Linked DNA regions of Nothobranchius furzeri. The protein of the gene in region 5 interacts with the protein of the main gene of each other region in a pairwise test. Links are inferred from orthologs where the notes say so. Each region holds a gene or a part of one and is shown on either strand. Other genes may lie near its edges.

Region 1 (3,500 bases), on a different chromosome or scaffold from region 5:
TGGTAGGAGGTGGAGATGGAGGGGTGAGCAGAGTTTTGAATGTCAAAAATTGTTTCTGAGAGTCAGTAGAGCTGAGAATTTTGTCAGTGTAGAAAGCTTTCTTTGCACCAGTGGTGCTGGCAGAGAATGAGGACAGTAATTCATGAAATTTCAATTGATCAACAGGATCTTTTGTTTTGCGCCATTTCCGTTCCGCAGCTCTAAGATTGGTGTGTAGAGACCGGAGGGTATCATTTAGCCAAGGGTGCGACTGAGAGGATCTAGCAGGTCTAGTGGCTAAAGGGCACAAGTTGTTGAGACAAGAGAAGAGTGTGGAGAAGAGAGACTCGGTGGCATCATTTACTTCATAAGCAGAGAGTGGAGGCAACAAGAGAGGAGATGTGGTTGGGTGCCAGATTGCGGAGGTTGCGGCGGAAAGAGACCATTGGGGAGGAAGCAGTTGACCTTCCATGTAGTCATGCTGAAATGGATGAAGTAATGATCAGAAAGATGCAGCGGTGTGACAGAGATTGTGTCTATGGCACAGTTTCTGGTGAAAATGTGGTTAAGTGCTTTTCCAGCTTTGTGAGCTGGAGGACTCTGTACTAGTTTTAGATCAAATGATGACATTAGTGACAGGAAGCCTGATGAGCTGGGATTGTCCAGGTGAATAATCATGTCTCCAAGGACCACTGTGGGACAGTCGTGCTCAGGAATGGAGGAGAGCATGGTGTCGAGTTCATCAAGAAAGTCTCTTGAGTTGACCTGGTTGGCGATATATGACAACTAAAAAGATTTTTTTCAGTACAGTTACCTGGATGGCATGGTATTCAAAGGAGTTGTATTTAGTGATGGGTAGCAACTGACTGTATATCCATCTGTTGGTAATTAACACGCCCGTTCCACCACCTCGGCCAGATGCACGAGAAGTGTGGGAGAAAGTGTGGTTAACTGAGAGAGCAGATGGGGTAGCATTGTCACATGGTTTGATCCAGGCCTCAGTGAGAGCCAGTGCATCGAGTGACAGGTGGTTTGCATATGCGGTAATGAAGTCTGCTTTGTTTACAGCATATACAGTAAAATATTGTATATGATCCAAAGTGTCCTCTCTGTTAAGAAATTCTTAATTTTATTTTGTGAAAATCTACTGATGATGCAAAAAAATCTACATCAATAAATTAACCATGTACTAACAACTAAAGTCGTCATTTGCATTTTTTTACTGTGTGGGCATCGGAACGAGCCCAGCACCGTGAGAACAAACACCCTAGCTTTAAAGCCAATCTTCATCCGCATACGTCACACGTCACGTGATCAGGAAGCAGAAAATCCATGTGTCAGGAGATAGTTTTGGGCCGCTGCTGAAAAAAAAAGTGAGGCGCAAACCGGAAAAGTTTCTGCCGATCACAATTCAACAACGGATTATGAAAGAACGGATAACGCTCGAAACGCAGGGATTCTTCCTGATGTAAGAGGTGAGTCTACGCTTTGTTTTGTTAGTTTTGGCGTTGACATCATCATAGGGTGCAACGTTCTGTGACTCTTAAAAAAAAAAAGTGAAAACGCTGAAAAACTCTGGCAGCGAAGGGCTTTTCGGATCAGGAAACGGCTGGCAGTGAATGAGTTAAAGACCAATAATCCATTCAATTTTTGTAAACTTAAAACCAAAATCTTTGTTCCACTTTTTCCCACCCTTCATCTCTCAGCTGAACGCTCACCTGTGTTTGAAGGACAGTGATCATCTGGTCCTTCTCCTCTAGAGCCGCGTCAAACTCATCTTGTAGATGTTTCTTAGCCTGCTGGTCCATGTGAAGCTCCTAGAGGACATTAACAGAGTTTATTTCCACGTACACCTTTAGTGTGAAAGATCGATGCCGACACAAGTAAAACATGCCGTCACCTCACGAAGCTCTCCGATCCTGCGGAGAGATTTATCTTGACTCTGACTGAGGATGGCCTGAGTGGAGCGACAAAATAAATCTAATTAGTTTCCAAAAGATGTTTAAGGATAAAACCAATAAAGGGAAAATAAATAAAGACTATGTCAACCAAATTACCTGCGTTTTCTCTTTTTCCCGATGGACTGTCCTGTATGCAGTAACCAGCTGCATGACAAGAAAAAGTTTGTGCATTTCACTGAACAGTTTGTCTATTTTAATCGTCTAGAAGCCGTTGTCTGCGGGCGTCTCACCTCGGAGTACTTCCCCCTGTACTTCCCCAGGCTCCTCTCGACTTGAAGCAGTCGGTGCAACAGCTGCTCTTTAGGAAGAGACTCGACACTTCCTGCCGGCTCCTCGGCTTCGCTCTCAATATCTGAAGGCGGATCGTATGCGGGGGCCACAGGGGACTCGTTTTCACCCAAAGGCGTCAGCGACTCGCGTGAGGAACTTCGAACCAGGTTTTCTTTGGAAGAGGAGCGGAACAGACTTTCTGCTCGACTCGCACCGCCACGAATCAGCGACTCCACTGAAGGAACCTTCAGCTGCAGCTTCTGGGTAAAGGACTGTGACTCCTCTTTCTGTTGTATGCATAAAAAGTGAATTGAGCGGATCACCAAACAGGTTACAGCATTATACAAATGTGCTTAAAGAGCAAGTCACCCTCAAATCAACTTTTTTTTCCTGATAAACTATATAAATGTGTGTCTAATCGTGCTGCAGACACGTGTAGTCAATAGTTTAGCACTAAAGTGCATTTTAGTTAAAATTTTTATTTTCTGCCTAAAACTGTCAGTGTTGTGCCGTTGTCAGGTAAAAACTCTGCACTGCATTTGAATTTAAATCTGCCATTACTATTGACTAAGAGGTACCCTAGAACGTTAGCTAGTACCATATGATGTCACAATGATGTTGTGAGCCTGTGTGTGTGTGCATTTGTTAGTGGCTACGCCCTCTTGGTCTGCTAGGCAACAGCATTTGTTGCATTTTTCAAACAGGAAGTGGGAGTTGAGTAAGAATCTGGTAGGGGGTGACTTGCTCTTTAACGTTCTTAGATGATGTATAAAACGTACGTAAGGAGAAGCACTTCCATCCCCATTGATGCTCCCTCTGGGGGACCTGACGGGTATTTTGGAGGCACTCTGCAGAATAAAACCACATGATGAGAGAAAGAAAAGCTGTGAAGATGGACTTGTCCTGGAGCCAGTTAGTAATCCACACCCAGCATGGCCCTCCCTGATTACTCTGGAGGGAGCAATATTAGTATTGCTGGGAGCAATGCAGGGGCGATGTGTACCCTCATGCAATTTTGGAAAAACAGAGGGGTTAAATACAAAAAAGAAGGCATCTCTATCATCTAATAAACAAAAAAGGGGTTAAAACGTCACTCTAGAGAATAGCCATAAGATCAGGACAGACAGACACATTGAAGTCAAGCAGCACAGCTGGTATTTGGATTAAAGGTGCTTTGGCAGTACGGTCTGAAGCTGTATTACAAGAGCACAAAGGTTTAAATGAAGTGAGTCGATATTCAGCAGCCTAGCTGGTTTAGTCGACGTGTGATCAGCAGCATCAGAGAAAAAG
Region 2 (3,962 bases), on a different chromosome or scaffold from region 5:
CTCTTTTCACACTGAAGTAATTCAGCCTCCATCTGCTGGCCTGAGCGCCACAAACACAAACATTCCCACTAAGGAAATGCAGCCAGTCGCTCGGTTTTCTGACCGGCACTTGGTTTTAAAGCGACACGCACTCTCATTCTCTGAACCGCGATCGCTTTCCCTCTCTCGGCGTTAGATTTCCAGGAGAAAGGGATGTGCTTGCAGACTGAACATCTCACTCACCTGCTCAGACTGTTAGTTTGTTAGAAGGGTACAAACCACGCAGGGAAAACATTTAGAAAAGAATGCACATTTGTGTGTTTATAATAAGACTGAATTACAGAAACTGAAAACAAACTGTTCCATCTGGTCTCAAAGGGACGGCAGTGTTGGGATTTTAGCCAAAATGTTTTTTTTAAGTTCACATTTTTCCTTTTAGCCGACATTCCCAGGCTCAACTGTCCCAGGAAAAAAAAAAGCATTTAAACTCAACTGATTTTACTTTTTCATCCATAAGGTGAAAAAAAGCAAATGATTACATTAACTGTAGATTTTAATTTTGAGACAGAAATCCACAATCTTGCACGTGCTGACATGAACTCATTTACAACAATGGCCACATGGAGGCAACACAAACCCCATTCGCCCAACCTTCAGTGTCTGTTATTTCAGTCTGTTGTAAACACAGCCTTAACAAAATGCCCTGAACGATGAATGCTGGGTTTTTTTTACAAATGAAAAAAAAGTTAAAAGCTAGCTTTTCCTGGAAGTAGACTTTCATTTTTAAATGGAATTTGAGGGGACTTTGTTAAATGTCACCTGCAATTTTTAAAATGAAAAAAGGAGACAAATGTTTATCTTTGTTGTCATTTTCTGCTAAATCTTTTATTATAGCCTTCATCAGAAAATCAATAAATCTGCACGGTACCGTGATTCTCCAACCTTTCTCAAAGCCCAGTGAGCGTGGTGGGTTGAAACTGGATTTTAGAGACCTTCTAAGTCACTGAGAGGTTTATCAATGCAATAACTGGGACTCTGTCTGAGATAAAGTGTTCTAAAAAGGTCCATAATCATTCTACTTACACTTAAAATCAAGAGCAACAGCTAAAATTTCCTAACTTTTGAATATTTATTTATAAAAATATGTGTGATTTTACAGCAAGGAAGAAATACACATTTTTTTTCATAAACATCTTTTATAAAACAACTAAAATGAACTTATAAGGTTGTTCTCTCTCTCTCTGGGAAAGACATTGTGCTCTCACTGGTGTCCTGAGAAACCCACGAGGAATGTACTCATCCTCTGGTGTGAATTTTCCAAAATGGAACGGGGGCTTGACTGAAGATGCTCAACCCCTCAGCCACTGTAATTTATAGTGGGGTGTAAATATTTGCCGTGGTTAGGAGGGAGGCGAGAGGTTAGGCATGACAGTGCACTTTTCCCATGATTACGTGTTTGCAATGCCCCTCTGAATCCTGGGAAAGGTCAAACCAGCCGTGTGATTGAAACAGACCAGACCTGAGCGTCAACTGGCCGGCTATTACCACGGTAACGGGACTTAGGAGTTTAACTCAGAAGAGTTTTACATTCAGCTTCATGGTAGATGGAGGAAAACAACATTTAGTCGGAACAGTTCCAATCCATCCAATCCAATCCAATTTTATTTATATTGCACATTTAAAAACAGCACGTCAGCCGACCAAAGCACTGCACAGAGTTCTGACCCAAACAGGAGAAAGAACCAAAGGAGAAAACTCTCGCTCTGTAATCTGACTTTCTCCTGTGCCTCTTTAATCTCTCCCTCTCATCTCTCTATCTCACCATCTTCCTCCTGCTCTCTGATCTTCACTCAGGCGTGTTATGCCGGAGTGCGTGGCAAGTCAGACGGGGAGAAGGGAGGAGAGCAGTGGAGGGAAATGGGTCACACATGGAGAGCATTCTCAGCTGAGGCTGGATAAAGTCCCTGGAAAAGGTGCTTCTTTTAAACGTGACAACAACCTCGGGTTTTTAGCTCGTTTGGCTTTTATTTCCATCACAGGTTCGTTTTTAACCCACGCAGACGCCACCGCCGCTGTCACAGACGGGAAGATTGTAAGTGACACAGAGCCTGTCTGAAACTCAATTCCAATCAGTCTGGTTTAATGTGATTGTGTTAGAAGTGCAAGTAGGAAAATCAATGGCATCGTGCACAGCTGTGTCTTTGGGAGGAAATGTGTGTGCATGTGTGTGTCACAAAAAGTCATGTGAGCAATGAGTAACACACTCAGTGACATTTAGACTTTGAAGTATTGGGAGTTGTTTGTCTCTCGAGTGAAGAAGTTGACCTAGTTCTTGTGTTTTATTCGCTATTATAATACATCCATGCACACACACACACACATGCACAAAAGGGGAAGGGGTGGGGTGGATTTCACAGATAACATGCACATGAACACTCTCAAACTCTCTCACGAGCTAATCATTCTCTCCACTTTGCCCGGCAGATAAATATTAATGAGGATTACCGAGTTACTGCAGTACACCCACAGGAAAACAAGAAACAGCATCTCCTTTTACAGCTTTCCTGCTCTCTCTCTTTCTCTTTGTCACTCGCGCGCGCGCACACACACACACACGCACGCACGCACGCACACACGTACACACACACACACACACACACACACACACCCCCTCCTGCTGCTTCAAGCATCTTTAAATCAGTCTCAACATCTCCCACCTCTTCAATTTTTATTTCTGTCTCTGCAGAATTGACACACACACACACACACACACACACACACACACACACACACACACACACACACACACACACACACACACACACACACACACACTATGAATAAACTCCTTCATATCAGTGAGTCACACACAGACAGCGCCTCGGTTCTCATGGAGACATGCTATTCCTCTCTGCAACAAAGGGTACATATTGTGCTGGGATATTTAAGGAACATTTCGGGGTCTCCACTTCCTGTTTTAGGGTAGAATTCTTTCCCATCATCCCCACACGCCTCCACTCCCATCATCCCCATTCCCCACTCTGTCTTTCTCCTTTATAGGACTGCATGCTGTTATTTCTGAGAATAGAGGAGCAGAGATGGCGAAGAAGTCACTCTGAGCTCTGCATGGACACAGCAGCAGATGGGAAAACCGCCAACACACAAAAATGACAAATGTCTATCTACCCATCCAATAGGGGGGGCAGGTTTGGCAGCGGACATTAAAGTCCAATCTCACCATAGCTACCCTGCTAACAGTCTGTCTCCACAGAGAGAAAACACATTATCAGCAGCTCACTGCCTTCAGCTTGCACCCACAGCCAGTAGGCGATCATCTCCTCACCGGATCGTGCTGCGTTTGGATTTCCTTTGAACTTGAGTGCAGCTGTGTCATGAGCCTATAGGTCTGCGGGTTGATTTTGGATGGAGTATAAAAGGACAGAAAATGAATAATACCACAGAGTGATGAAAGAGACGGGGCCGAGAAGAGGGTGGGAGTCTCCCTACATGCTCCCCCCACTTTGCCCACTTGCTCAATAACGCTCTTCTTCCTGAGCTGCCTTGGGGAGAAAAGGGGGTCCCCTTTGATGCCAAAAACAGGGTGTGGTGCAAGGCCTTCAGGAGATGTATGTTATTCCCTCTTCTTTCTGTTTTTATGACCCCTTCTCTTTGCCTCCTTAATTGGACCGACTGACCACAGCTCTCACCTACAGTCTTGCGGGCGTTTTGAAATCCCGGGGAATCAATACTGTAGCGAGGAAGAGGAGGAAAGCCGCGGGGGCTCGGCGCTGAGCAGTGCTTGCAGAGGCTTGATGAATAAATTAAAGAGAGACTTACGCAGGGTGTTGTTTTTGTGCATCAGTCGCCACGTCAACGCTACAGGCGCTCCATTGAATTAATGTTGAAACAATTAGATCAACCTGACCCGCAGATAGCCGGGGTCCAACATTGACCTTTTCTGTGATTGGTGCTGACTTTAAGTT
Region 3 (3,931 bases), on a different chromosome or scaffold from region 5:
ATGGAAATATTTAGATTATTAAAAGTCTGATAAAAACAATGAAAATCAAGTCTGGTAATAACCAACTTGTACGTAATGACCATAAAATGGCCAGCTCAGCACTTCTAATATATTTTCTACATTTTCTAGTTATTAATAATTATTGATATTAATCAATATGCTTTTTATGTATATCGTCCAGCTCTATTGGTGGTCACAGATAGGTTAATCTGATCTACCGGGATTTGAACCTACAGCCTTCTGTAAAATGTACAGATAATAAAACTCTCATGTTTAAACCACAAACATAATGCCTGTTCTCTACTTTCTTATTTCCATTAACATTGTGTTTAAACTGATTTCTTTCATGATTTTATTTTCTCTGTAGCTTCTTATTGTTTAGATCACTTAACTACATGACCCGTTTGTCAGAACGTTACTCTCAGTTATAACAAACTGAATGAACCAGTGGGAAAACCGGTCCCAAATGTACTGATTCATAGTTTAACCCACTATGGCAGATGCTTTGATCCAAATGAGTTAGTCTTAAATGATATTGCTTACCTGTGTAAGATGACTCATGAATCATTTAAATAGCTAAACTCTCCCTTGTTTCATTCATGTCAAACATGTTTTCCTGCATCAGAATTCAGAACATTTACAGGGATGATGCAGCAACTCCTTATTCGTCTTTACCTCTAACTGTTTAATCCTCTCCTCGTCTTCACATATTCGGTCCTCATCCACCTTTATAGCTTTCCTCATCACAGATGCCATCTCGTTGATTTTGTCTATGTGCGCTTGCATTTCCTGCACAGATCAACAAAAAATGATTAGAAGATTTTACATTACAGTTATTAAAATATGAATTAGAAGAACAAAGGAAACCCGAGTTGCTGACCGTGGTGTGCTGCTCCTTCAGCTGAGTGACGATGGCGGGGTCATCCCTCTTGCTCGCCATTAGGAGCCTGAACACCTGCTCCCTGTATTTAGTCATGATGAGCTCTATCGCAGACTGGTGTTCCTCCAAAGATGTTCGGAGCTCTGCAGAAAGAGAGAACGCATGTTTGGTTGGCTAACTATGACAAAGTCATTCTCAAATCATGGTATGAGAGCTCCCTCTAGTGGTACGAGGAAGACATTTTAGTAATGGTATAAAAAGGTAAGTAGGCTAATTATTCACTCTTAATTGGACCATGGCAGCAAGCTAAGTAAGTGACTACTAATTACTGAACAAATGAATAGGGAAATGCAGTGAAAAATATTTTGTAAGGATTTTAAATAACTCTAGTCGATCTGTATATGTCTATGTAAATAAATTTTACCTTAATGATGTCTCTGGATATTTGTAAAAAACATTTTTTCTGCCCAAAAACATTTCAGTGTTTGTAAGCAGTGTGATTTGACAAAAGTAAAGGAATGTATTGTACCGAACAGGAAGCAATCACCATGAGTATTAACACTGAAAGACTACCTTTGTTTTCCTGCTGGAGTTCTCTGATCTGACGGTTCTCTTGTTGGATTCCCAGAACCAGACTGGAACGAGGCCGATGTCGCGCAACCTGGTTCAGTGCATCAATCTCTTCCTGGTACTGTCAAATGTGAAAAAATAAATAAATAACGAATCAATAAAAAGCTTCGCCCTCAGTAGTTATGTCCTGTAAACTAAACAGCAGTCAACGCTACGGTTAAAATATTCCATCATTCTTTGGAATGCACTTTACTTTCTTCTTTTGCATTATAGAGTGTTCAGTTATAGAATTAGTAAAATGTGACCCCTGGTGGCACTAAGCTAGTACCCAACAGCACATAAAATAGGAAAAAAAAAAATCACATACCGTTTTTATAGCCTCCACTCTCTTGTTGAGAGATGTTGTCTGTTCAATTAGCATCTCAGCGGCATTGTCGTGGTTACGAAGCCTTTCCACTAATGATTTGGCATCTGCCAAGACCTTCTCTAAACTACAATTCATACCTAAGGAAATACAGAAGCATAAAAACAACTTATTTTTGATTATTCAACAGCTCTGACTTGTTGGTATCAATTTATTGAAAATAAATATAATTAATGCAATACACTACGAATACATGCAAACAAATCAGTCCAGTAAGTACTAATCTTTATTTCTTCAAACTCAGCTCATTCAAAGATCTGTCTACTTCTATATTAGTTGTTCAGAATCTTTTTACAGACAGCCACACGAAAATACATGAACTTTCACTTCACCACACTCTGTAAAATAATAATAATTCACCAGAACGATCGAAATGAGCCATGAATAAACGTTTCTAAAGCTAAAGAACCTAGCTTGAACCTTAAGCCTCCTCGTAGGTGATAGCACGCTAGTTTACAGCCAATAATGCATTGATAGGTCATTTTACTCTAATAAGAGTTTTATTACTTAACATATTTTGCATTTACTGACACAATTTATCACCACAACACTTCATTAATCAAATATAAACTACCGAGGAGTTCATAACACCAACCGGCTGCTATAACTAAACTTGTAAGGTCCACAAAAGGCAGCAAAACTGACAAATGTGTGGTCATACCTGAAGAGTTCAAAGTACAAAACCACTTGGGTTGAGTTAGCTTCTTTACTTCCTGTTGTTGTTTGGTGGCTAACACTGGCTAAAAGCTGACGTTTACTCCGGATTAGATGCTTTGGCGCGTTCCCATTTCCTTAAAGCACGAGAGTAAATATCGCTAGTCATGAAAAAGTCGATTTAAAACCTATCCACATTACAAAAAACCAGCCGTGGGACGGTCACAGCCATCGCTTCAGCTAACTCGAAGCCTCTTGTTTATTTCCGCGAGACGTTAAACTCTCGCGAGGGTCACGTTGGGGAGTTTTTTATTTTATTTACGGCAACATGGCGGATAGGCTAACGCAACTTCAAGACGCTGTCAATTCTGTAAGCAAAACTATTGAAATATCCCGAAATATAATTATTTTCTACGTCAATAGTTATTTTTTTATCTTACACAATTACAACAAATGGATTTAGATAAGAAATATTTGCAGAATTATCGTTTCAGTCTTTTAAATGTAGCTAATCGCTAACTTGCGAGTCTAAGGTTTAGTTAATTTACACAATTTATCACAGCTTTTATGTTTTAACCAATGAACATGGCTTGGTTTAACTGGTAATGCAACTATCAGACTATACTGGCTGTTTATCTATTCTATATTCTTTTAAACAAATGTCCGGAGTTTTAAAACCCGTGTTTGTTTTGTTGCGTGTGAACAGCTGGCTGATCAGTTCTGTGATGCCATCGGTGTTCTGCAACAATGTGCTCCACCTGCTTCCTTCAGTAATATTCAGACAGCAATCAACAAGGATCAGCCAGGAAATTCAGCCGAAGGTTTGTAACTTCAAAGCAAAATCTTTATTTAAATCTCTTTTCTCCCACATTCAGCTAGCCTGACCAGTCATGCATCCTTATGGGAAGCATTAGTTCTCTGTGTAGAATTAAACAGAGGACGAGTCTGGCAGGCCAAACATGCTCACATGCCTGGTGGAAAAATCACTACCAAACTCTCATGGGTTATTTATTTTCCTATTCGAAGAAGCCACAATTTAATAAATTGTTTCAAAAAGGGGTTTCGGGGTTTAATTGTATAAAAGTAAAAATGCTAGTCAACAAGTGAAATACTATTTCCAGGATAAAGTTAAAACGTCAAGAAAAATGTTGAAATTTTAAAGAAAATTGTCAAAACGTCTAGGAAAAAAAGTGTTACCATTTCCAAAATAGCCTGAAGAACTGAATCTCAACTGTACCCTGCCCATCCCCAAAAGTGTCACTTTGTAATATTTAGTTGGACTGCCCTTCACTTTGATTGCTTCTGCAATGTCAAAAGAATTATTCCCATCCTGAGTTGCATTCATTTTTTAATGAGGATCCTGTAGAGATGTTGAACAATCAAACAGTTTTAACAATTGTCAT
Region 4 (3,500 bases), on a different chromosome or scaffold from region 5:
ATAATGCAACTATTGATCAGAACACAAATTCTCCATACATTAGACAACAGCTGCAGCGTTCATATTCAACTCCAACTAAAATAAAATGAAGCCCGTTAGCTCTTACCTCTGCTGGGCCAGGCTCTGCTCCTGCATCAAAGTGCTGAGTTTCTTTATTTCTGCAGACATGCAGTCCTTTGCCTTTTGCAGCTCGCCCTCATACTCAGCCTCCAGTCTCTGTCTCAGCATCAGGACCTGTGGGTCTAAAACACAAACCCGTTAGCAGCTCTCTTAAGAAATCTCTGAAAACAAGAGCAGGTCTGGTGAAAAGTATCTTACTTTCATTTCTGTCCAGATCAACCTGCAGAGACCTGAACTTCTCTTTCTCTTCCTGGAGAGCCATTTCCAGGCATCCCCTCTCCCCATCAAGCTCCAGCTTCAAGGCAGACATCTCGTTTGCATGCTTCAGTTGAAGCTCTTCTTTTAGCTTCCCTCGTTCCTCTTTCAGAGCGTTCTCAACAAGGTTAAGCTGCAGAAACAAACACAAGTGTGAGTTTGACTAACGGTTCATGTGTTTGGGTTCTCTCTGCAGAGCCTGCTCAGATGTACTTGCACCTTTTGTGTGTTTGACTGCATTTCTGCATCGCGCCGTTCACTGAGGGAGGTGAGTCTGTTCTCCAGAGTGTGGATGATCGTCATTCTTGTTTGCAGCTGTTCAGTGAGGTACCAAGTCCTCTGTTCTACCTCAGCCTAATAACAGAAAAGCAAAGCTGAGCATCACAAGGTTCACAAAGTCACAACTAAGGATGTTCCGATTACGTTTTTTGCTCCCGATTTGATTCCGAGTCATTTGATTTAGAGTATCTGCCCATACAGAGTCCCAATCCGATACTTTTCAGAAAATAATTAATAGAAAAAGGGGAAGAAAAATCAGCAAAGTATTACAATAAGAAGAAAACGCATCTAAATTGTCCTGTTTCACTTCTTTTTTTTTTCGTTGGTAAGGTCTTACTTGAACCCAAAAATATTGCTTGATTGCAATCATTTAGGTAAGTACTGCCCCCTATCGCCAGAGAAAATACACACCATCACTATAAATCTGATTTATTTCTCCCAACTCCGATCCTTTCAAAAACATGTGATCGGGCCCGACTTCTGATCATGTGATCGGATCAGAGCATCCCTAGTCAAAACCAAATGATCCGAATCCTCACCTCAACCTGCCTTGCTGCTTCCAGGTGAATTCTGGTTAGTTCTACACAAAAAACAAACAAACATTTAAAATGTTATTAAAACCAACTTGTAAATAATACAGTGTTTATTGTGGAGGTGCATGAGTGAGGTACCCTCAACGTGGCTGTCAGACAGTTTGGCTCCAAGTTGCTGCAGCTCCAGGGCATGACGCGTCTTCATCTCCTGCAGCTCTATGTAGTAATGGTCCGTGAGGTCAGAGCGCACCTGATATACAAAGATTCATACAGAACACATGAAAGAGCCATAGTCCTGTGTGCTAACAATTTAGGTGTCTGAGGAACTGCCTGACCTGCTCCAGCTCGTCGTTAAAAGAAAGCGTTAAACTAGTCTGCAGACTGGGATGGTCCAGGGCATGCTGGTCCTCCAACTCAAGTAGCTCCTGGATAAGATGCCCAGTAAATGAATTAAACGGCCATTTATTTTGTAAAACTTATCCATAATTAAAACGACACTGGTAGGAAGCATCGAGTCTTCACATCCTACCTTCGGTTTCTCCGGTCTGACCTCTTTGTCCTCTTCAGCTTTGGCTTGAGACAAAATACTGAAAGAGAGAAAACACATGAGAACTCTGGAATAGGTCAGAACTGTCCTACAATGTCACATAAAGCCAGTGGACACACTCGTCATCCGTTGTTTTAAGCACGGATTCCTCCAAGGCACTTTCTACAAGCCTCAGCTGAAGCAGAGCGATTTCCTCTTTGTAGCTCTCCTCCGATGCACGCAGCCTCTTCTCAAAGTAACTGGGAAAGGTGATGGTAAATGACAAAATAAAAGCCTTAAATTTGATGCTGGTTTATGTTCTGAATAATAATTCATGCAGATCACCGTCATAATAAGTTTAAGCAGACTTTGTGCAGGAGTCGTACCTCCGGAGGTTTTCCAGCTCAGCCTCATTCTGTGCTTTGATTTCTCGCTTTTGCTCATTAAACTCCGTCTTAAGGCACTCAATGTCGTTAACATGAGAGGAACGAGCCAAAAGCTGCTCCCTGAGCTCTGCAGGACCACAAAGCAGAGAGATAAAGAGTGTAAACACACCTGGGAATACACACACTCCTTTGATTTTCAACAGTCGCTTAGAGAGTAAGAAAGCTAATTTAAGCTGTTATAGACAGGATTATTCTCAAAAAGCTGAATATTTAAATGAACACTGAAGATCAGGAACTAAAAACAGAAACACACACACACACACGTCAGGCTCCTGTATTAACCTCACCTCCCAGCTCCTGACGACTAGTCCTCATGCTCTCCAACTGGGCCCACAGCTGACCTACTTCCTGTTCCCAGCTCTGTTTCAGAGACACCTTCTCCTCCTCCAGGCGCAAAACCTGATCGTCAGAGTTGGAATATTTATTTGACGTGTGTGTGAGGAAAGTGCCAGTGAGGCGAGAGAATGATGCTCATTCGGGTTGGGCATTGTTTGATTTTGAATGATTCCAATTCCACGTTTCGATTCCGGTTCCTATCGATTCCTGATTCCGATTCTTTCAAGACATGACATGCTTTACATGAGCTAACTAACCACAAGCCCTACTTGATGAAATAATCTTAACTTCAACATGAATTTTTATTCTATGAACAATAACATCACCTTCATTTAGACAAAAACATGTTTTGGGGAAAAAAAATAAAAAGACGTGCAGCACAACCAGTGTGTTTGTTTCTGACCACAACCAAAGACTGGAAGAAGCCTCTGGGATGAGAGACTAAATGTCTCCAACATTCACAACATTGTGTGTCATTTATTATTATTATTTATTGTGGCAGAAGCTGGTGTGGTCCACCACAGAGAAGCTGCTCTAGCATGATGACTTTATTCTACAGGTTATTGTTCAACCTTCTGACGCACGCACGCACACACACACACACACACACACACACACACACACACACACACACACACACACACACACACACACACACGTGTTGGTAAGTGTGTGTTTTTATTTCTGCAGTGAGACAAACTCACCTCACACAGTTTGTTCTTTAAAGCTTCTGTTAAATCCACCGTGTTGACGTATTTTAACAAGTTTCCTCTACGCTGCAGGAGTTAAAGTTTACATTACGGAGTAAAAGTTCGGCAGACGCGTTTGTTTATATTTGGCCGCTGCGTGCTGGGTGGGGGGAGGGGGAGACTCGGTGCTGCACACAGACAGCTGGTGTGATCAGCTCTGAAAAGCGTTGATCCCAATTTGCAGATCATGTTTATTTTTCAGGGAAATCGGCCACTGATTCCTCTTCCGGTCGGCATAGTAGGAATCGAAATAAAA
Region 5 (3,952 bases):
TCCTCGTCCTCTGGAGAACCAGACAGCTGAATAAGGCGTGCACTTTTAAAGCACAAAGCATTTTTTGAACTCTTACACCCGCAGAGCTCACTGAAGGGCTTCAGCTCTGAGTCACCAAACAAGTCTGACAGGCCGGCGCGATGATGCCGCGAAGGAAGCTTGTTTTATGTTACTATTATTTTTATATTTTATTTTATTATGGATGACATCATCACAGCTGTTTACTGTAATCAAAATAGGAATGAGTCTTAATGTATTAATGCAGCTTCTTATTTAATCTCAATCCAATGAACTATTGTACCTTTTTTTCTTTTTGAAAGAAACAGCATGTAACTTTGCAAGCCCTTACGTAGCATTAAATGGTTTAAGCATTACATTTCTATTCTGAAGAGCAGCGAACAACTTTCCAGCTGAAACTGAATCTGAATTTTCTGATTTTTGGCTACTGAAGTCACTCGTAGTGGATGTCTTACCTGTCCAGCGTGAAGCAGCAAGCGTCTGTTTGAGCTGTTCTTCTCACCTTACCTTTTGTCAGACTTTTAACCGAACTTGCCAAACGGGTAAAACAAGCATCCTGCTTTAAATGAAACACAAAGAAAGGTCTATGACTTATATGAGACATATTTGCATGCATGGGAAGTTTGGGCACACCTTCATACGATTTCATAATTCATACTTTCATAAATAAAATTCTTTGAAACACTGACTCTAAATGTAGTATTAGTGCTTGTTTAATAAATCCAGTTAGAAAATGCTTCATTAATCCCAGATGGAAATTAAGTGTTGTTGTGAATAAGGAAACAATAATAAAAACAATAAAATTTAGGTATCTATCTATCTATCTATCTATCTATCTATCTATCTATCTATCTATCTATCTATCTATCTATCTATCTATCTATCTATCTATCTATCTATCTATCATCTGTCTGTCTGTCTGTCGGCCTAATCTTTATTTATTTTTGTTCTTGTGAAGCACGTCGTGGTTTTTATCTGGAGATGCGCTGTATACACGATCGTTTTCCTTATTTCGTTTCTTTCTACATAGCTAGCTACCGTTGCTATGGACACAGAACACCTAGCAACCGAAAGCCTATGGCGCATGCGCAGCTTTCGTTCGCGGTGCACTGTGGGATTGTTGGATATTGACATAGCAACGGAGCCCCAGAGCCGCCTAGCATTCGTGTTTTAGACCAGTTTTCGCCCCTTTTCTAGCAGCTAAATTGTTCAGTTGGGATTTCATCTGCCGCCATGAACGCAGCGGTGGTGAAGAGGACTCAGGACACGCTGGGGAAAGTCATAAAGAAGCCGCCGTTAACGGAAAAACTGCTAAACAAACCGCCGTTTCGTTACCTTCACGACATCATCAGTGAGGTGAGACCGACTAAGGACAACAGTTACGTTTAAAGACATTTTATAAAGTTAAAAACTGTATATGAAGCCCTTGCGTGTGCTTTATTATCTGTGTCCATGAAAGGGATAGCTCTAACCGGACAACCCTCACCAGGAGCGAGTTAGCTTAACCGCAGCTGTTCAAAAGCGGTATCACTGCATTTCTCCTCTTCAGCACCCAGAGCGAACACGCGTTAAAGACAAGCAGCTGCTAACGTTCATTATTATGACTGTACATGTTTAGGTTGTACTTGCTTCACACCTGCTGCCGAGCAGCTGACCACAGCTGTCTTGTTGGATGCATAAGTTCTGCCTTTTTGTATTTAATGTACAGCAACATTTGATCGACATCTAGATGTTAGATGTTTACAAACGTAGGATTCACCAGTGTAAGTCGTAGGTCTGGATAAATATTAAAATTTGTATTTTATTTGTAGTATCAGCTCCAAATAATGACAGTGTAAATGTCAAAAAGTATTATTATTTCAATGATTGTCCCTTCTTAAGACAAAACTTACTCTTGTCTAAGTAGAAATGGCAGAACGAGGGTAAAACACAAAGGCAACATATTTTGTACATCAAACATTTTCCTGTTATCTTCTGGCAACTGACGTTTTCTGAATAAGGAAAATTTAGAATATTTAAGATTTTAAATAACCAAAAACCGGTTTAAAATACTATTTATTTGAATAATGTATCTACACAAGAATTAGAATCATAATATATTGTAGAGTGCAGTCTGTCGTACTGTTTGTGTTTGGGGCATCATTAGATGCTCTTATTTTGATGAGCCACTCTGCTGTTTTCCTGATTTATTTTTGACTGACGAGCATTTCCTAACTGAATGAGTATTTGTGCAGAAAAAGTGTGTTTTCATTATTTACCTAAATTATTTAGGTTATTATTCTTCCCATAACTGAGCATCTGTGTGTGTGATGTGTGTAGAACAATATGACGTCAGCTTCTTGTGTTAAACCCTTTTTCTGCTCATGTTTGTGTAAAAAATAAAATCGTACATTTGTGTTTGTGTACATGCTTAAGAAAGCAGAACGGGTATTCACAAACAGGATATATTAGCAAAATGTATATAACTGCATGAACTAAATAATACATAATATATAATGTAATTTTAAAAATATTTTCTTTAAAAGCATGTTTTTTTTACAATTAAACTCATATTTTAACTCTTTTCTTTAACAGATTAGAGACTAAATCTATTTTCTAAACAGAACTGAGATCTTATTCTCTCACCACACTGGTTGGATGGTTTTATGTTTCACTCTAGCTTTATTTATAATTAATTGAGGTTAGCATTCCTATAGCAATATTCTTTTATCTGACTAAAGGAATTCAGTTGTTTAAGACATACTTGATTGAAAATTAAAACATTTTGCAGCCATAAGTCTGCTTTAAGCTTGCTTCCATAAAATCAAAAACATTTTGTGTTAACTTGTATTAGAATGATGTAGGTTTTGCAGAAGCACCTATAATATTTGTATAATAACAGTAAACCTTTATTTTCCTCTTGACTCTAAGGTAATCAGGAGCACTGGTTTTTTGAAAGGCCTCTATGGAGAAAATGAAATGAAGTCAGATAGTGTAAAGGTAAGCTTACTCTTGCTATATTTACTTGATTTTTGACCTTTTTTTCCCCTGAAAAGACTAATTTGTTCAGGATTACCCCCGTGTGTTTTCACTGGGCAGCCTGAGTCACCAGATACGCCGTCTGGCAACACTGTGAGCTAGAAGATCTGGCAGGCAGAGACTGAGTGTTTGTCGAGGTGTCAGAATGCTAGTCTGCTATTTGCAAGGCGATCCTTGATTAGGACTGAATGAAAGAGAGCTACACCGAGTCTTCTCTGCTTACAAACGTAGCTGCACGCTGCCCGTTTCTTACTAGTGAGAGAAATGAGTTGTTAGTGTTGTGTTTTACATTTCCTCCCTCGAACAACGAGGTAACAAGCGGTTAAACCCAGTCACTCTGGGGGTAAGATTCATATTTCAGTTTCATCACTTCAGCTGTCAGGAGTGCAGAGAAGTCAGTTTGACCAACAAGTCCTCCTGGTCTTTGGTTTATCAGTTTACTGACCTGCTTTTGCACAAAACAAATGATGTCATCATTTCTTTTTGGTATGGAACCAATTTTATTTAGATTTTGCCTTTAATCAGTTTATATTTTAAATGTTTTTGTCTCGGTAACGGCTTTTTTCATTATATCTCATTCTAGGAAAAGGACTCAAAAATAACCTTTCTTCAGAAAGCGATAGATGTCGTGATGCTGGTGACCGGCGAGCCTCTGGCGGCCAAGCCCGCACGGATCGTTGCCGGCCATGAGCCGGAGAAAACCAACGAGCTGCTTCAGGCCATCGGCAAGTGCTGCCTCAATAAGGTCTGCATCACACACACACGCGCGCGCACACACACACGCACGCACACACACACACACACACACACACATGCACTCACACTCACACACACACACACACACACACACACACACACACACACACACACACGCGCGCGCACGCACACACACACACACACACACACACTCACACTC
Region 6 (4,236 bases), on a different chromosome or scaffold from region 5:
CTAGTTTCTCAAGAAAAACTATTTTTTGGACACTTTTCTGTTTCTGGTGCTGTGAAGCTTGGAGGATTTTTACTGCTACTTTTAGCTTTTTTCACTTTGAGCATGTTGTGATGCGTAACCATGGCAACCGTCTGGTTTACAATCGGGAGCAACTGATTAACATTGGAAAGACTGAAATAATACCTCAACTGAAGCCACAAATCCCAAATGAGCTAAAACGCAAGAAGCGTGGGTGCAGAGCGGGACGGAGACAGAGAAAGAGGAAATTCAAACCATCTCTTCCATCGATCATAATGGGCAATGTGGATGGAGGAACTCCAAGCCTTTTCAAGGACTCAGCCAGAGTTTCGGCAGTTTCGGAACCGCTGGAGGAGATAATGCAAAGAAGGATTCTCCAGAGAATCAAGAAAATGATGGACAACCCTGAGCATTCTCTTCACAAGACTGCCCGACAATGGAAGAGTGTCTTCAGTCAGAGGCTTCTTCAGTTTTGCTGCAACACTGACAGCTACTGGAGATCCTTCCTGCCAACAGCCATTGTGATATACAATAACTCTTTGATGACTTGATTAATATTATTAATATTATATATTATTATTATTATTCTGAGTTATTTTTATGTATAATTTTAGAGGGAAGTGGAATTTAAAAGTACAAAGAGTAAGGACAACATTGAAAAGGATGTCTATTTCAATAGCGGGCGTTAAATTCTGGAATGAGTTAACAGAAGAAATAAAGGATAGTAGTAATGTAAACCAGTTTAAAATAAAACTCAAAAAAGAAATGTTAAATAAGTATAAGAATGAAGAAAATGCAATTAACCCAGGACGGCATGCAAACTGATGTTTAATCTATTCTACAAATTAGAAAATCTAAATGTAGTTCTAGTTGAACATGATAATTTTATTTATTTATTATTATTGTTATTTTTTTTTTGAAGGCATTGTAACTGTTTTGTTGTTTAAATTTTGATGAGGATGTAAACCTGAGGGGTAGGGCTAAATAAGTATACACTTCTCCCTACTCCTTTTCAAACAATTGCGTGGAATGATTTTATGAAATGTTGGTGAATGTATATGTTTGAAATAAAGTGAACTGAACTGAACTACTACAGCAATCAATTTCCCTCTGGGATTAATAAAGTATTTTTGAATTGAATTGAATATTAACCCACCAAAGCTGACATCCATGGCTAACGGAACCGGAACCTCGATCACTGCCAGGGGCTGTCGGAGTCGTGCCACAGCATGACTGACAACCAGAGGAGATTCCTCCACTGTGGGCTTCGCTTTGTTTGTTTCAGCCACATGCTTTTTGTCACAGGCTACGTCAGGCTCATCCACATGGATCTGGAAAGCTGGCTGCTTAACAGGTCTTTCAACAAGGATTTTGTTAAAATCTTCATTTTTGCAAGCCAAGGGCTGTGATGTTTCCTGGAACAAAAAAAAAAAAAAAAATCTGTAATGTACAGACATCTGCCAAAACTTGATTTGTGAATTAGAAACTTCTGTGGAAAATGTGATTCAAATATAGCAAATTTCTTTGCATTTCTGTTAATGTGAGGCTCAGTGGAAGCAATATATTATAAAGTATTATTAACTATTAATACTACATTAAAAAGGTAATAAATTAGTATTTCAAAAACTTCTCTTCTCAGACCAGCTGGTGATTAATTAGTTTAACTCTACAATAGCAAAATGTATTAGGAAGGACCCAAAATGTATGCCCTTTATTAGAACACGAAAAACATGCAGGTGTGTAAAAAAATAAATAAAAGAAGTCTACAGATTATGCTAAATTAATTTTACCTCTGTGTTAAGTCTCGGTTACAGGATACTTGTAAATGCAAAGAAAATCTTGTGTAAATTGACTTAAATACAGTAAATGAAGACGGGAGGTTCTCCAGAAGCACATTTGTGTTTAGAACAAAGCAACTCAAGGGCTATAAGGTTATTAAAATGGCGGAAAGCAGGGGAAACTTAACAGAGCAACATAACATGTCATTTTACTTCATTTTTAAAAAGGCGCTTAAAGCAGCTAATTAACGTACTTGCATCCAAATGTAACCATTTTAGTTGCCTTCAGAGCCTGCCTAGGTGTTAGCTTAGGCCAAGGTTGCTAGCCTGTTACCTGTTTAGCGCCTCGCTGGTTCTGGGCTTTGCTCCGATGGTTGTTCTGCAGGGCTCCCAGCACGGTTCTGTTGGCGGCTTGTTTGGGAGGCTGGTTTTCTTGGTTTTCACCAGCTCGGTGTTTAAGCGACCCTCTGAGCCTTGAAAGCATGTTTTCATGGTTGGGGAGCTCACTAGCCGCATTTCCTTGCCTGTTAGCTCCTGACATGTTTCCACCCTCCAAGAGAGAATCCACTTCTCCGCACTTTTTTTAACAAAAAAACAAATAAATAAAAAAGCAGTGGTCAACCGTAGTGTGCTTCCTCACAGAGCGAAAAAAAGAGGAAAGCTTACAAATCAAAAGGCTAAAAAAGATGGCGTGTGAGCAGTTATGTCGAAGCGAGCTTTAGCTGTTGCACAGCAGACTGAATCGTGAATCAGAACTAAACTGTTGAGATGGCAACAGCACTTGGAACTGCAGCGCTAGAACAAAGCAAATAAAAACAAACGTGCACCTTTGACATCGGGTTGGCAAAACTAAGGAAAAACTAAGTTGCCATTCTATTTATAAGTTTTGTATCCGGTACAAACCTGCACAATGACAGCAGCTATTGTCGATGCATTTTCATGCAAACACTTAGAGAGTTCAAGTAGCCCGCGATGATTGAAACCGACCAATCACAGACCGCGAAGGAACTGACGTATTACAAGTGTAGGAGGCGAGGAGGGACAAAAAACTTTAATTGCAAATTTAAAACCGGTTTGAAAAAAAGATCCCAAATACAAAGTTAAACGCGAGTAACAACAACGTTAACGCATTTGGAATAAAAATCTTTGCTGCAACAATTATGTATATTTATATCATTAGAAGCACTTCAACATACTTAGACGTCTTCCTAACCTAGGGCTCGTGCTTGAGGTCATTTCTAGGTCCACCAGTATACTTGTTTACTGAAAGACTTGCACATATGTTTAGTTTAAGAAATTACTCATAAGACTATAATTTAAAATGTTTAAATACTATTGTATTTTTATGTTTGGCTTTATTTTTCATGTGTCCTATTCTTACATTAGGTTGAATGACCACTTATGCTGATTAGATAAATTTGTGTATAAAACTTAAATCCACATGGAAGTACCTAACCCAGTATACAGCAACAACTTGTTTCTTGACGAATCTGTTGTAGCATGAGGTACATTACATTAAGATGTAAATAATATGGAATAAAATTGAAAACAATTGGTGTGTTAGCTATTTTTTACTGACAAGTTACTGCACAAGGACTGGTTTAATACAGAAAGATTAGATATTAAATTGAGTAGCATTTGACACACATACTATAACTGTAACAAATTCCATCAAATTCTTGCATGAAAATAAGAGTATTGCAGTATTCTCCTAACCATTTGCAGTACGCCTTAATACATCAAAAGTAATTTATTACTCAACTCTTAAGGGAGAGTAAATTATTTCTAAATAAAATTTAACAAAATAACACAGTCTCAAAGATGAACTATCGTCATGTAAAGATTGCAACACAACAACCGTCACAGAGATAGATCATCTTTGGCCATTATGGCATCATGGCTCATTGAAAAAGTCTAAGAGTGACTTTAATTCGTAATTATCAAGTATCTCCAACAACGAGGACACTTTTGTTTTCACATTTTGGCCCTTGAATTTGAATTTGTCGATGAAGAGGTCAGTGATCATTCCTGCAGGAAAACAGAAATACACACAAAACTTTATAAAGTGAAAATCAAAAAGCAACAATAACAAAAATTAATCAACAGTGAAAGTTAGTTCTTTTTACTCCAGCTTTACCGTAAAGCCTTTCAAGGTGGGCTGGCTGCTTCTTGTACTCCTCCAGAAGGTTAGCAGACTCATCCAAAATGCTGCGGTACTCTGGGATGAGGAAATCTGCATTTCCTTCATGAACTTGAAGTTCCTAGGAAACATAGATTCAACTATAATGAACTGAATCATAAATAAACAGCAACAAAACACATTTAACCAAAACTTACTTTGAGAGCATCGACAAGTTGAACTTTTCTAGCCAGCACCAACTGATACTCCAGCTTTGGGTGGATCATCCTGAGGGTGTGGCTCACGGAGTCGTCATTAATA
Region 7 (3,500 bases), on a different chromosome or scaffold from region 5:
CGTGGTGGATACCATCGACACTGCTCAGAAATGCGTCACCTTCCTGAAGGAACAGAACATCGGTGTGGCCACTTTCATCGGTCTAGACAAGGTAAAAAGGTTTTACACCTTCAGTCACAAAGACCGCGACGAAACTTCCTTTGTTCTTCGTGTTCTCAGATGAAGGTGTGGGAGAAGAACATGGCTCCCATTCACACGCCAGAGGACAGCCCTCGCCTGTTCGACATGGTGCGAGTGAACGACGAGGGCGTGAAACCAGCTTTCTACTTCGCCCTGAGGGACACGCTCGTAGCCCAGGACATGGAGCAGGCCACGAGGATGGCGTTCCAGAGGGACAAGCGCTGGAGGGTGGTCACCTTGAAGGGACAGATCATCGAGATGGCCGGTCGGTGTCTTCTGACAGAAGTCTGGATTCATCAGTGAGCTCAAGTCTTTAAGCTTCTTCTGGTGTGTTTCACAGGAACCATGACTGGAGGAGGGCGGGTGCTGAAAGGCCGAATGGGCTCTTCTATTGGTGCTGAGGTCTCTCAGGTGGAGGTGAGTCTACATCGTCACAAATCTCCCAACACTTTGTTTAATCATGATTTATTGCTTTTTAAATCACAAATACTTTAGCTGTGACCCTAACGAACACTCAATATAATCACATAATAAATAACCCGTGCCTGTAAACCGTTACTAGAGCGAAATAAAAAGTTTTATTTATTCTAACGGGTCTTCCAGGCTGTACTGTGAGACCTCTTCAAATGGTCCAGAACGCAGCGGCGCGTCTGGTCTTCAATCAGCCAAAAAGAGCACACGTCACCCCTCTGTTCACTGAGCTCCACTGGCTACCGCTAGCAGCACGCATCAAATTCAAATCGCTAACACTAGCATACAAAGTCCGAGACGGTACGGCTCCCATCTACCTGAATCCTCTTGCAAAGGCTTACGTCTCGGCCCGGCCGCTCCGGTCATCACAGGATCGTCGGCTAGCAGTGCCTACACCACGCTCAGGACAATCCAGACTCTTCTCATGCATCGTTCCACAAATGTGGAATGACCTTCCTAACACTACCAGAACAGGGGCTTCCTTTTCAATTTTCAAGAAACTCCTGAAGACCCTGCTCTTCAGAGAGCATCTTCTAAACTAGCACCCTCCCTGCACCCGCCCCCCCTCTCTACTGTCCACTCCTTGTTCCCTCCTCTCCATGATTGATGTCAAGTTGTTGTTGTTATTGTTGTTGTTGTTAGCCTCAAGGGCAACATGCCGATTATCACTTGTTAAGCCTGATTCATGCCTCTGCGTCTCTGCGGAGACACGCAACGTCCTTGCGGGCCTGCCGGAGAGCTCCGCAAGGACAGACGGAGTCGAGCTCTCTTTTCTAAACATCCGTCCGTCGAGACGGACAACGCAAGCTTGTGATTGGTCAGGGTGCCGCTGTTGTCTACACCGCCGCCATTGCGCCCTCAAAAACAAAGAGAGCCGAGGATAAACTAGCGGCAGACATGGAGCAGCTTGAAGAACACCTCGCGAAAAAACTCTAAAAACATGAACGTTAAATTCTCCCGTGACTGGAGGAGTGAAAAGATGCGCAGCAAGCGTTTTATTTGTGGACGGAAATGACAGGAAACGTGGGTTTAGAGGTGGGGAGCGCATGAAGAGGGGGAGGAGGATGAGGGACAAATTCGTCTGTGTTAAAACGTCTCTTATGTACAAAAAAACCAACATAAACACACATCTTGGACCGATACATGACAGGATACCACAGAACAGCGCTACGCCCCCTGCTGTCCTGCCGGGGAATTGCTTTGCAACACTCCAGGAGACGGAGAAGTATGAGGGGAAAATGCTTCCGTCAATCCGTGCGTGTCTGTCCCTTGCGGAGCTGACGGAGACGCATAAACCAGGCTTAAGTCACTTTGGACAAAAGCGTCTGACAAATACATAAACATAAACGCATAAACATATTTGCAGTTGGACCGAATGGAGAGTAAGCTGAACGAGAAAGCATCAAAGGTGCAGGGCTGCCAAGAGAGAAGGATGCAGCTGGAGGAGAGCATCCAGCGTCTGCGGACGCAGCTCCGAGAGATGAAGAACACTCTGGAGAAATACTCCAAGAGCATGAGTGTAAGAGCTTCACCCACCCAGTTCCCGTCGGTCTCCGATCAGCTCCTCTGCTGTCCGTAGCCGTGAGTACCTCCTGGGTTTAGTAAACGGTGTTTTTCTTCTTCTTGCCTCAGAGTTTAGCCGACCAGGAGACTCACCTGAAGCTTCAGATGAAGGAGCTCGAAGCCAACGTGCTGGCAGCGGCCCCGGACAAGGCCAAACAGAAGCAGCTGGAGAAGAGCCTGGAGGCCTTCAAAAAAGGTAGAACCTTCTCTGAACACGGAGGAGAAACATGACCGACGTATCGTGACACGACTGCAATAATGAAGCGTAACGTGGTTCCGTTAGACTACGAGTCCGCGTCCGGCAAGGCCGAGAAGGTGGAGAACGAGGTGAAAAGGCTCCACAACCTGATTGTAGACATCAATAGCCACAAACTTAAAGCTCAGCAGGACAAGTTGGACAAGGTCAACAAGGAGTTGGACGACTGCTCCTCCATCATAACCAAGGCCAAAGTGGCCATCAAGACAGCTGATCGGTAAGCAGGAAACGCCTGTTCGGGGGGGGGGGGTCTGGGAATAAACCTGGAGTTTATTTAACGTTGGTAAAATGTCTTCTGGCTGTTTACATTTCTGATGTTTTACCGTTTTTCATTCATCGCTGAAGCAGCAGAATCTAAAGGAGTCATTTTTCGTTTTGCTTTCTCTGCAGCAACCTGAAGAAGTGCGAGGAGGGCGTCGCCCGCGTGCAGGGGGAGCTGCAGGAGAACGAGAAGCTGATGGTGGAGCTCACAGAACAACTGAAAAAACTAGAAGACGAGGCCGGGGAGATCATGAAGACCTGTCAGGAGGCGGAGGTTGGTGTTTGTTTTAGGAACACGTCTCGTTTGTGTCGGCACATCTGAGGTGTTCATCCCCGCTCCGTTAGGCCACTCTGCCGGAGGTTCAGGAAAAGCATCAGACCGTTTCCAAGGAAATAAAGGTCCTGCAGCAACAGGAGCACGCACTGCAGGAGGAGTCCCTCAATGTCCGTCTGTCTATTGAGCAGATAGACGCCACCATCAGCAAACACAACGGCAAGATCAAACACTGGCAGGACGAGGTGAGTCCCCCGCGGGATGGCTTCCATCCTTGTGGTTTGTTCTTGCAACTTTAGGTCGTGTCAGAATGAAAATGTAGCTTTAAAACAACAAAATTCCACGTAGCGGCTGGGAACGCTGGGATCAAACGCTAGCTCGTATTTCTGCTCCTCCAAACTGACGTTGATGAAAGAGCCGAGGTATCCGAGTCCCTTCTTGTTTCCAGGCTGCCAAGCTGTCCCTTCATACCATCGACGGCCAGCCAGCAGAGGAACTCCACACGCTTCCTGCTGCTGAGCTCGAAGCCATCTCGGATCCAAACGTCATCATCAA

The links.
Region 1: the proteins of traf3ip1 (region 5) and golga4 interact in a two-hybrid assay, tested with the Homo sapiens proteins (2 studies listed by BioGRID and IntAct). The link is inferred for Nothobranchius furzeri from reciprocal best matches to the Homo sapiens genes TRAF3IP1 and GOLGA4.
Region 2: the proteins of traf3ip1 (region 5) and frmd4a interact in a two-hybrid assay, tested with the Homo sapiens proteins (2 studies listed by BioGRID and IntAct). The link is inferred for Nothobranchius furzeri from reciprocal best matches to the Homo sapiens genes TRAF3IP1 and FRMD4A.
Region 3: the proteins of traf3ip1 (region 5) and fgfr1op2 interact in a two-hybrid assay, tested with the Homo sapiens proteins (2 studies listed by IntAct). The link is inferred for Nothobranchius furzeri from reciprocal best matches to the Homo sapiens genes TRAF3IP1 and FGFR1OP2.
Region 4: the proteins of traf3ip1 (region 5) and pcnt interact in a two-hybrid assay, tested with the Homo sapiens proteins (2 studies listed by BioGRID and IntAct). The link is inferred for Nothobranchius furzeri from reciprocal best matches to the Homo sapiens genes TRAF3IP1 and PCNT.
Region 6: the proteins of traf3ip1 (region 5) and ccna2 interact in a two-hybrid assay, tested with the Homo sapiens proteins (2 studies listed by BioGRID and IntAct). The link is inferred for Nothobranchius furzeri from reciprocal best matches to the Homo sapiens genes TRAF3IP1 and CCNA2.
Region 7: the proteins of traf3ip1 (region 5) and smc4 interact in a two-hybrid assay, tested with the Homo sapiens proteins (2 studies listed by BioGRID and IntAct). The link is inferred for Nothobranchius furzeri from reciprocal best matches to the Homo sapiens genes TRAF3IP1 and SMC4.

Annotation. Positions count from the first base shown.
Region 1 is NC_091752.1:16,190,716-16,194,215, forward strand, and holds part of golga4 (golgin subfamily A member 4), read right to left. Parts: intron 3,059-3,500; coding exon 2,990-3,058; intron 2,498-2,989; coding exon 2,171-2,497; intron 2,085-2,170; coding exon 2,037-2,084; intron 1,937-2,036; coding exon 1,880-1,936; intron 1,797-1,879; coding exon 1,698-1,796; intron 1-1,697. UniProt on the Homo sapiens protein: Involved in vesicular trafficking at the Golgi apparatus level. May play a role in delivery of transport vesicles containing GPI-linked proteins from the trans-Golgi network through its interaction with MACF1. Involved in endosome-to-Golgi trafficking.
Region 2 is NC_091744.1:72,025,685-72,029,646, reverse strand, and holds the start of frmd4a (FERM domain-containing protein 4A), read right to left. Parts: upstream 2,801-3,962; 5' UTR 1-2,800. UniProt on the Homo sapiens protein: Scaffolding protein that regulates epithelial cell polarity by connecting ARF6 activation with the PAR3 complex. Plays a redundant role with FRMD4B in epithelial polarization. May regulate MAPT secretion by activating ARF6-signaling.
Region 3 is NC_091741.1:59,845,428-59,849,358, forward strand, and holds the start of fgfr1op2 (FGFR1 oncogene partner 2 homolog), read right to left. Parts: upstream 2,801-3,931; 5' UTR 2,536-2,800; intron 1,955-2,535; 5' UTR 1,953-1,954; coding exon 1,818-1,952; intron 1,572-1,817; coding exon 1,454-1,571; intron 1,024-1,453; coding exon 881-1,023; intron 790-880; coding exon 676-789; intron 1-675. Other genes in the region: med21 (mediator of RNA polymerase II transcription subunit 21), read left to right, coding at 2,857-2,898, 3,235-3,349. UniProt on the Homo sapiens protein: May be involved in wound healing pathway.
Region 4 is NC_091758.1:23,787,430-23,790,929, reverse strand, and holds part of pcnt (pericentrin), read right to left. Parts: intron 2,559-3,500; coding exon 2,447-2,558; intron 2,227-2,446; coding exon 2,100-2,226; intron 1,974-2,099; coding exon 1,854-1,973; intron 1,775-1,853; coding exon 1,717-1,774; intron 1,613-1,716; coding exon 1,523-1,612; intron 1,438-1,522; coding exon 1,326-1,437; intron 1,235-1,325; coding exon 1,194-1,234; intron 730-1,193; coding exon 595-729; intron 509-594; coding exon 319-508; intron 243-318; coding exon 107-242; intron 1-106. UniProt on the Homo sapiens protein: Integral component of the filamentous matrix of the centrosome involved in the initial establishment of organized microtubule arrays in both mitosis and meiosis. Plays a role, together with DISC1, in the microtubule network formation.
Region 5 is NC_091754.1:2,499,749-2,503,700, reverse strand, and holds the start of traf3ip1 (TRAF3-interacting protein 1), read left to right. Parts: upstream 1-1,152; 5' UTR 1,153-1,251; coding exon 1,252-1,374; intron 1,375-2,928; coding exon 2,929-2,997; intron 2,998-3,619; coding exon 3,620-3,781; intron 3,782-3,952. Other genes in the region: agr1 (anterior gradient 1), read right to left, coding at 1-42, 474-577, 1,057-1,152.
Region 6 is NC_091741.1:74,293,187-74,297,422, reverse strand, and holds the start of ccna2 (cyclin-A2), read right to left. Parts: upstream 2,801-4,236; 5' UTR 2,700-2,800; exon of another isoform or gene 2,374-2,699; 5' UTR 2,338-2,373; coding exon 2,131-2,337; intron 1,434-2,130; coding exon 1,175-1,433; intron 1-1,174. Other genes in the region: bbs7 (Bardet-Biedl syndrome 7 protein), read right to left, coding at 3,691-3,824, 3,934-4,057, 4,134-4,236. UniProt on the Homo sapiens protein: Cyclin which controls both the G1/S and the G2/M transition phases of the cell cycle. Functions through the formation of specific serine/threonine protein kinase holoenzyme complexes with the cyclin-dependent protein kinases CDK1 or CDK2.
Region 7 is NC_091753.1:52,617,985-52,621,484, forward strand, and holds part of smc4 (structural maintenance of chromosomes protein 4), read left to right. Parts: coding exon 1-91; intron 92-159; coding exon 160-385; intron 386-460; coding exon 461-537; intron 538-1,957; coding exon 1,958-2,110; intron 2,111-2,223; coding exon 2,224-2,350; intron 2,351-2,437; coding exon 2,438-2,627; intron 2,628-2,800; coding exon 2,801-2,945; intron 2,946-3,016; coding exon 3,017-3,190; intron 3,191-3,393; coding exon 3,394-3,500. UniProt on the Homo sapiens protein: Central component of the condensin complex, a complex required for conversion of interphase chromatin into mitotic-like condense chromosomes.